2 linked regions of the Cricetulus griseus genome follow. The protein of the gene in region 1 purifies or fractionates together with the protein of each later gene. This does not show direct contact. Links are inferred from orthologs where the notes say so. Each region holds a gene or a part of one and is shown in the gene's direction. Other genes may lie near its edges. The genes, in order: Nlrp3 and Trim31.

What was found.
Region 2: the proteins of Nlrp3 (region 1) and Trim31 purify together in Homo sapiens (affinity purification with western blotting; 3 studies listed by BioGRID). This does not show direct contact. The link is inferred for Cricetulus griseus from reciprocal best matches to the Homo sapiens genes NLRP3 and TRIM31.

The regions. Positions count from the first base shown.
Region 1 is NC_048600.1:73,611,099-73,614,911, forward strand, and holds part of Nlrp3 (NACHT, LRR and PYD domains-containing protein 3), read left to right. Parts: coding exon 1-1,745; intron 1,746-3,094; coding exon 3,095-3,265; intron 3,266-3,813. UniProt on the Homo sapiens protein: Sensor component of the NLRP3 inflammasome, which mediates inflammasome activation in response to defects in membrane integrity, leading to secretion of inflammatory cytokines IL1B and IL18 and pyroptosis.
Region 2 is NW_023276806.1:228,842,295-228,846,829, reverse strand, and holds the start of Trim31 (E3 ubiquitin-protein ligase TRIM31), read left to right. Parts: upstream 1-1,528; coding exon 1,529-1,927; intron 1,928-2,321; coding exon 2,322-2,417; intron 2,418-4,126; coding exon 4,127-4,357; intron 4,358-4,535.

The DNA.
Region 1 (3,813 bases):
ATGTACAGAAAACACGTGAGAAGCAGGTTCTACTGTATCAAAGATAGGAATGCACGTCTGGGTGAGAGTGTGGACCTCAACAAACGCTACACTCAGCTACAACTGGTCAAGGAGCATCCGAGCAAGCAGGAGAGAGAGAATGAATTACTGAGCATTGGCAGGACCAAAATGTGGGATAGCCGCATGAGTTCCATTAAGCTGGGGTCACTGTTTGATCCAGAGGATGAAAACACAGAGCCTGTACACACAGTGGTGTTCCAGGGAGCAGCAGGCATTGGGAAAACAATACTAGCCAGGAAGATTATGTTGGACTGGGCATCTGGGAAGCTCTTCAAAGACAAATTTGATTATGTATTCTTTATCCACTGTCGAGAGGTGAGCCTCAGAACATCAAGGAGTCTGGGAGACCTGATTGTCAGCTGCTGGCCTGACTCAAACCCACCAGTGTGCAAGATCCTGCACAAGCCCTCCAGGATCCTCTTCCTCATGGATGGTTTTGATGAGCTGCAAGGAGCCTTTGATGAGCACATTGGAGAGGTCTGCACAGACTGGCAGAAGGCTGTGAGGGGAGACATTCTGCTGAGCAGCCTCATCCGAAAGAAGCTGCTGCCCAAGGCCTCTCTGCTCATTACAACGAGGCCGGTAGCCTTGGAGAAGCTGCAGCATCTGCTGGACCACCCTCGCCATGTAGAGATCCTAGGTTTCTCTGAGGCCAAAAGGAAGGAGTATTTCTTTAAGTATTTCTCAGATGAGCTGCAGGCCAGGGAAGCCTTCAGGTTGATCCAAGAGAATGAGATTCTTTTTACCATGTGCTTCATCCCCCTGGTCTGCTGGATTGTGTGCACAGGACTGAAGCAGCAGATGGAGACTGGAAAGAGCCTGGCCCAGACCTCCAAGACCACTACCGCTGTCTATGTCTTTTTCCTTTCCAGCCTGCTGCAATCCCGAGGGGACATGGAGGAGCACCTCTTCTCTTCCCACCTACAGGGGCTCTGCTCACTGGCTGCAGATGGCATTTGGAACCAGAAAATCCTATTTGAGGAGTGTGATCTGAGGAAACATGGCCTGCAGATGGCAGACGTCTCTGCATTCCTGAGGATGAACGTGTTCCAAAAGGAAGTGGACTGTGAGAGATTCTACAGCTTCAGCCACATGACCTTCCAGGAGTTCTTTGCTGCTATGTACTACTTGCTGGAAGAGGAAGAAGAGGGGACAGCTATGAGGAAGGGACCAGCAGGTTGTTCAGATCTTCTGAACCGAGATGTGAAGGTCCTCCTAGAAAATTATGGCAAGTTTGAAAAAGGCTATCTGATTTTTGTTGTCCGTTTCCTCTTTGGCCTTGTAAACCAGGAGAGAACCTCCTATTTGGAGAAGAAATTAAGTTGCAAGATCTCTCAGCAAGTCAGACAGGAACTGCTAAAATGGATTGAAGTGAAAGCCAAGGCCAAGAAGCTGCAGAGACAGCCCAGTCAGCTGGAACTCTTCTACTGCTTGTATGAGATGCAGGAGGAAGACTTTGTGCAGAGAGCCATGGACCACTTCCCCAAAATTGAGATCAACCTCTCTACCAGAATGGACCATGTGGTTTCTTCGTTTTGTATCAAGAACTGTCATCGGGTGAAAACACTTTCCCTGGGGTTTCTCCACAACTCACCCAAGGAAGAAGACGAAGACAAGGGGGGAACTCGACAGGTGGACCAGGTCCCGTGTGCTTTCCAAGAGCCCTATTCTGCCTGTTCTTCCAGGTAAGGGCATTTGGCTCCAAGAAGATGGTAGCCAGCACCTTATGCTTTCTGGCTACATTTCTTGGTCCTTAATTCCTCTCCTCTCTGATGTTCCAAATATAATTGCCCAGCTTCATGATAATGTGACTGCCACCTTTTCATTGGTAGAGAGTGACTCCTGCTAGGTGGATAATTGGGGTTGAGGACAAAATCCAGTAAACTAAGAAATAAGCATTTTGGGAGAATATCAGTGCAGCACAAAGTATCAGGTGGACTGCGGCAGTGCATGGAGATGTAGCCTATAGCTCTAGCTCACTGTCTTACTTCAATCCTCTTTATTTCAATGCTGCTGTAATGGATGCTTGAAACTAGGTTATTTTTGAAGATAAAAGGTTTGTTTGTTACAGTTGTGGAGGATGGGAAGACTGAATATTGGGCACCCCACATATTTTTTCTTTTTACTTGGTGGGAGGAGGGGAAGCAACTCCTTGTTTGTCTCTTTCACAAGGTACTGTTATTATCTATGAGGTTTTGCCGTATGACCAACCATCTTCCAAAAACCTCACCTCCTGATCCCAACATTCTGAGACTAGGGTACCAATCTGAATTTTTGAAGAGTAGGTGAAAATTTAGATGATGCCAGTGGGAGATGGAAAGAGAGACGAGATAGAAGAAGACAGATTGGCTCCTTAGGGCCCTAAAGGAGTAGAGAGAGGCTAAGAGGCCAGATTAGGACCACACACTCTTGAGAAAGGCAGAGACTCAGGCTAAAACCCTTGATGAGAAGTTGGGATCTCTTACTTTAGGTAACAGCCATTTTCCTTGCTGAGCAGAGGCTTTCTTGGTTTATCACAGAACCTTCCAAGAGGACTAGCTATGTGGGTATCCTCATCAGAGGTTCAGAGTCACAAAGCTAGTCCTGCATGTATACAAAGAAACTCTCATAAGGGATATTCTAATGTGAATCCTAGAAATGACTGTGAAAATGAAAACTACCAATGTAGATGGGTTTAGCTTTTAAGATTCTGACTTTGCTTCTGTGGTTGCAGCATGGCTCGGGACTTTACAATTGGACATCCTGGACCAGTCTGCTGCATGTCCAGGCCAGGGGCACACCAGCTGTCTAATGTGGGAAGGAGGTGTCTGAGGGTGTTTGTAGTAAGCCTAAAGTTTACTTCGTTGCATTTCAAAAGGAACCTCTCTCTACCCAAGGCTCACCAGCCTGCTTCCCTCTGAATGAACATTTATGACTGGTGGCTTGACATCTAGGAGACTTTTCTATGAATAGGTGCCGGGAGCCTGCTCTGAGCTCCACTTTGTTAACATTAGAAAACCATGTTCTTTTCTGTCCTTCTTCTGTGCCATTCTAGATTGGCAAACTGCTATCTCACGTCTAGCTTCTGCCGAGACCTCTTCTCCAGTCTAAGCACCAACCAGAACCTCACTGAACTGGACCTTAGCGACAATACTCTGGGGGATCCTGGTATGAGGGTGCTGTGTGAGGCCCTCCGGCATCCAGGCTGTAACATTCAGAGACTGTGGTGAGTCTCCACATTTGTGTATGGTGTGTGTTTCTTCCTCGAGTCTTTGCATTACATTCCAGCTGTGTGTCCATGTTCTAAACTCTTACAACCTTTCCTTGTGTCTGATACTGTCTAAATAGACTAGGGCCAACACTGTGGATTCAGTTTAATTACCTATTTGAAGTTGCCTATTTCCAAATATGGTCACACACTGTGGGCTGCTGGGGTTGAACTCTGATACACAAAGCTTTGGAGGAACATAGCTGATTCTGTTATAAATGGGCAGGCTGAATGACTGAGGTAAGTAGGGAAAGCTTTAGATGGGGAAGGTGAAGAGGAACTGAGAAGAACTATTTCCTCGTGGCAAAATAAAGGCTTTGTATTTTATTCCTTCATGGATGAGGATTCTGGGTGAAAACTGGGAAATTTCATCACAGATTCTAATGGCTGGCAAGATCAGAACACACCAAAATGTTGTGGGGATGTGTATCTCATATACCCCATTCTATGCTCTACTTTATTTAAATAATTAACTGTAAATATATGAAATAAGAAAAAATTTAAAT
Region 2 (4,535 bases), on another chromosome or scaffold:
ATAGTGACTCCCGGCCATTTGTAATTCTAGTTCAAGGCTATCCTAATCCCCTTTCTGGCCTCCATGGGAACCGGGCATGCACATGGTGCACATTATATACATGCAGTCAAGAACACTCTTACACATAAAAATAAACAACTATTAAAAATATAAATAGCTGCATGTCGGTGGCGCACGCCTTTAATCCTAGCACTCGGGAGGCAGAGGCAGATGGATTTGAGTTCAAGGCCAGCCTGGTTTACAGAGCAAGCTCCAGGACAGCCAGGGCTACACAGAGAAATCAAAAAACAAGAAACAAACAAACAAAAAACAATATATATGAAGAGAGAATAGAACTGGGAAAGTGACATGTTGGAAGGATTAGTGGCAAGTAAGATGAGTGATTGGGGTACGGATCAAGATAGAATTGTACACATATGAAATTATCAATGAATAAATAAAAGTATTTTTAATTAAAAATATTCAATAGCAATCAGTGGGCTGGGAGACCATGAACAAGGGGGAGGGAATGAGTGGGTGGTGGAACTAAGAGGGCATAACGGAGTACACTGATGTAGAAGGAAGGACCAACTTAGGGGAGTAAAGGGATGATTAAGAATGAGTGGCTGTCATGTGGTGCGGGCGGCGGCGGCGGGGTGGGAGGGGCATGAATAAGAACCAAGTATAAAGACAGACGTTTTGAAATTGCCCTAACAGGAGCTGGGGGTTTTGCTCAGTGCTAGAGAGCTTGCATAGCAAGAGAAAGATCCTGAGTTGAGGTCACCACCAGAGAGGAAGAAAGTTTGGTTTTTAATGACAGAAGAGAGACTGGGCTGGTGGGACGGGGAGTGGAAAGGAAGGGAGACACACTGTGTTCCTGGGAGCAAAGAGCAAGATGAACTGTTAAGAAGTGAAGAGTTGAGCTACTAAGGTTACATGGATGACACTGGCTGATGCTTTCCTAGTTAGGATAAAAGAAACAGGTTGAGTAAGCTAGGGGTCTGTGAACAGAGACTGAGGAAGAAGCAGGCATGACAAACAGAACAAAAGATGGCTCAGAGACAGTGAGGAAACCCAATAGAAGACAGGAGGGGGAAGTAAGAGATCAATGGGGTTAGATAAGCCCCACCTTTCTGGGGCTGCCAGTCAGCAGCTCCACTCCCTACCTGCAGTTGAGTAGACTTTGACACTTGGTTCTTTTGTTCTCAGACAACTGCTTTGGAAACATCTATTTAATTAGTTCAAGGTCCAGGAACCTTGGTCTGCTTTACAGGAAGCATGAGTTCACAGTATCTGTTTGCTTTTGAGAGACAGTGAGGTAGGATGGTCCAACTACCTGTCTTTTCTCTTTACAATATTCCCCATTTAAGTTTTACTTTTGTGTTGTTGCTGTTCATTTGCTTTACCCCCCCTTCATTTTGTCTCTCTGTGGTCTTCCAGTGGTGACACTTTTTAACGGCTGCTTCCTGTTGCATTTTCTCTTCCCAGCACCTGTGCCTGCCTTAGACTTCTGAGCTTTCACACTTCAATTTGGCCCTGCTGCTCCTTCATGGCAAACAAACTACAGGAGGAGGTGACCTGCCCCATCTGCCTGGAGATCCTACAGAATCCTGTCACCATTGACTGTGGGCACAACTTCTGCCAGCAATGTATCATCCAGGTTGGGAAAACTACAGAAAACCTCCAGTGTCCCCTCTGCAAGGTCACTGTGAGTAAGGATACGTTCAGGCCCAACAAGCAGTTGGCTAGTCTTGCAGAGACAATCCGGTCTATGGATCCCACTGAATTCCAACCAGAAGGGGAAGAGAAAAGATGTCTTAAACACAAGGAAAAATTCCATTACTTCTGTGAGCAGGACGGGGAGTTCCTCTGTCTGGTGTGCCGTGACTCCAGGAGCCATAAGTCCCACAATGTCACCTTGATAGATGAGGCTGACCAGAACTACAAGGTAGGTACCTGGCTCCTTCTCTATCCCCAGCCCAGCAGAGGAGAACTCCCTGAGGACATAGGAGCAGCTGCCTGTGCCAGCTGGTTGGTACTCACCGCTGCACTTGAATTGGCTATATGTAGCCAGGCCCAGTGGGCTCAAAGAGCCAAGTTCTGGGAAATGCCAGTCTGTAACCAAGGTGAGAAGAAGAAGAAGAATCAGAATAGTGCTTTGGGAGCAGGAGAGATAACTCGGAGTGTAAGGCACTTGCCACCAAGTCTGAGGACCCAAGTTTGGCCCTCAGGACCACATAGTACAAGGGAAAAAATTGTTTGATCCATGGGAAAGAAAAAGGGGGCTGATAATAATGACATTCCTAGAGGCAGAGCCTGACTGAAGTATCCTCTCCCCACAGGTGCTGATAGAGTCACAAATTCAGGATTTGGGCCAAAAGGACAAAGAAATAATTGAAGAGAAAAAGCGAAGTGAAGGGGCAATCCAGGTGTTCAGGGTAAGAAATATTCACTCCAAACACTTCTGAGGAAGTTGAGGCAGCTCTGTTGAAACTCCTAGCATTCCTTATACACCAAGCCGGAACAAAGACCTGCTGACACGGTATCAGTGTCGAGGGGCAGGGAGTGTGGTGCCTGAGCTGTACTCATCTACCTGCCCGGGTGCTGCACCAGGGAACCAGGAGGTCTCCTATTCCTCCACCCACAGTGGGCTTTGTAAGGACTGCCCGCACATTGCGTCACCCAAGCCCTTTTCACTACAGCCTGGTTACACTGTAAGAAAAGATGGAGAGACTGTGGCACCACAAAATGTCTCTGCCTGTCTTTGATTGCTTTTCTTAAAAGGTTGTTTTTTATTATTTTTATTTATGTGCATATGCATGTGTCTGTGTGAGTGAAAGCCATGTGTGTGCAAATATTGGCAGAAACCAAAGGCACTGGAATTACAGGCATTTGTGACCTGCTCTTCCTAGGTGCTGGAGACTGAATTCAGGTCCTCTGGACGCATTCTAAACCCCTGAGCCATCTCTCCAGGTCCTGGTGGTTTGATTGGTTGGTTTTTGTACATCCATGGAACATTTAGTATGAAGGCAGTTAAGCTTCTTCCTTCCTTCCTTCCTTCCTTCCTTCCTTCCTTTCTTTCCTTCTCTCTTTCTTTTGTCTGTGTTCTTCCTCCATCGACTTTTAAGAATATTTATTTATTTATTTATCTTTAGATTTAATTTTATGTGAGTGAATGCTTTGTTTGTATACCAGATGCATGCCTGGCATGGAGATCAGAAAAGGGTATTGGATCCCTGGAATTGGAATTAGGATGGTTGGGATCTACCATGTGTGTTCTGGGAATTGACTCTGAGCCCTTTGCAGGAGCAACAAACTCCTTTACCAAGCCGTGTCTCCAGCTCCTAGACACAGTATCTTATGTAGCATAAGCTAGAGATTGTTATACAGAAAAGAAGAGCCTTGAGCTTCTGATCCTTTCATCCTTCCCCCAGTACTGAAATTGCAGGGCTATATCACCATGTCCAGATTACTGCAGGTCTATATTGCCATGCCCAGATCATGCAGGGCTGAGGATGCATTCTAAGCAAGCACCCTATCAATTGAACTACAATCTTATCCTGGGTTTTCGATTGCGATGTTGGTAGGTTGTTTGTTGAGAGAGTGGCTCAAGTAGTTCAGGCTGGCCTCTGATTCCTGAATCTCCTGTCTGTACTTTCCAAGTGTTAAGATTGCATAGTTGTTCATCCAGCTGATGTACTTGAAGGCAATATATATATATATATATATATATTATATATATATATATATAGAGAGAGAGAGAGAGAGAGAGAGAGAGCCTAAATTTGCACAGGAAGTGCTTTGATCTCCTTGCCCCACCCCCCTTTCCCACAGGTATGCCCCCAGCAAGCTGTTCAGCATAATCTTTAAATATTCCCAAAGAGTGAACAGTGCCAGGTGGTACGTGCCTTTGATTCCCAGCACTTAGGAGGCAGAGGCAGGTGGATCTCTGTGAATCGAAGGCCAACCTGTTGCACTTACTGAGTTCCTGGCTAGCCAGGGTTATATAGTGAGACTTTGCCCGTAACTGACTGATCATTCATTCATTCATGGTTGATTTAAAAAGTGAATGAAGGGCTTAAAGGAAGCTTGGAGGACCCTCTCTCATGCCCGTCCCCCATCTTTGCATCCCTTCCTTTGTCTCCAGGCCCAGATACATCTAGAAAAACTAAAGATCCTTGAAGAATTCAAACACCTGCACCTGAGATTGGAAGAGGAAGAGAGATTCCTCCTGTCCAGGTTGGACTGGCTGGAGCACGAGGGAGCCAAGCAAATAGGACAGTATGTCACTGCGACTAATGAGCAGTTGACTTCCCTCAGGAAGCTCTCAAGATCCCTAAAAAATAGGTTACAAGCACCGCCCATGGAGCTACTGGATGTAAGTCTCTCTCTCTCTCTCTCTCTCTCTCTCTCTCTCTCTCTCTCTCTGAAAGAGACTTAAGAATCTGTATTATGCTGTGGCCTAACAGCTCCTAATATCTGGTTCCTCTGAGGCCTTTGTCCCCTCCACTCCCTGAAAGGACATTAAAGTCAGATACTTTCCTTTCCTGAGGGAT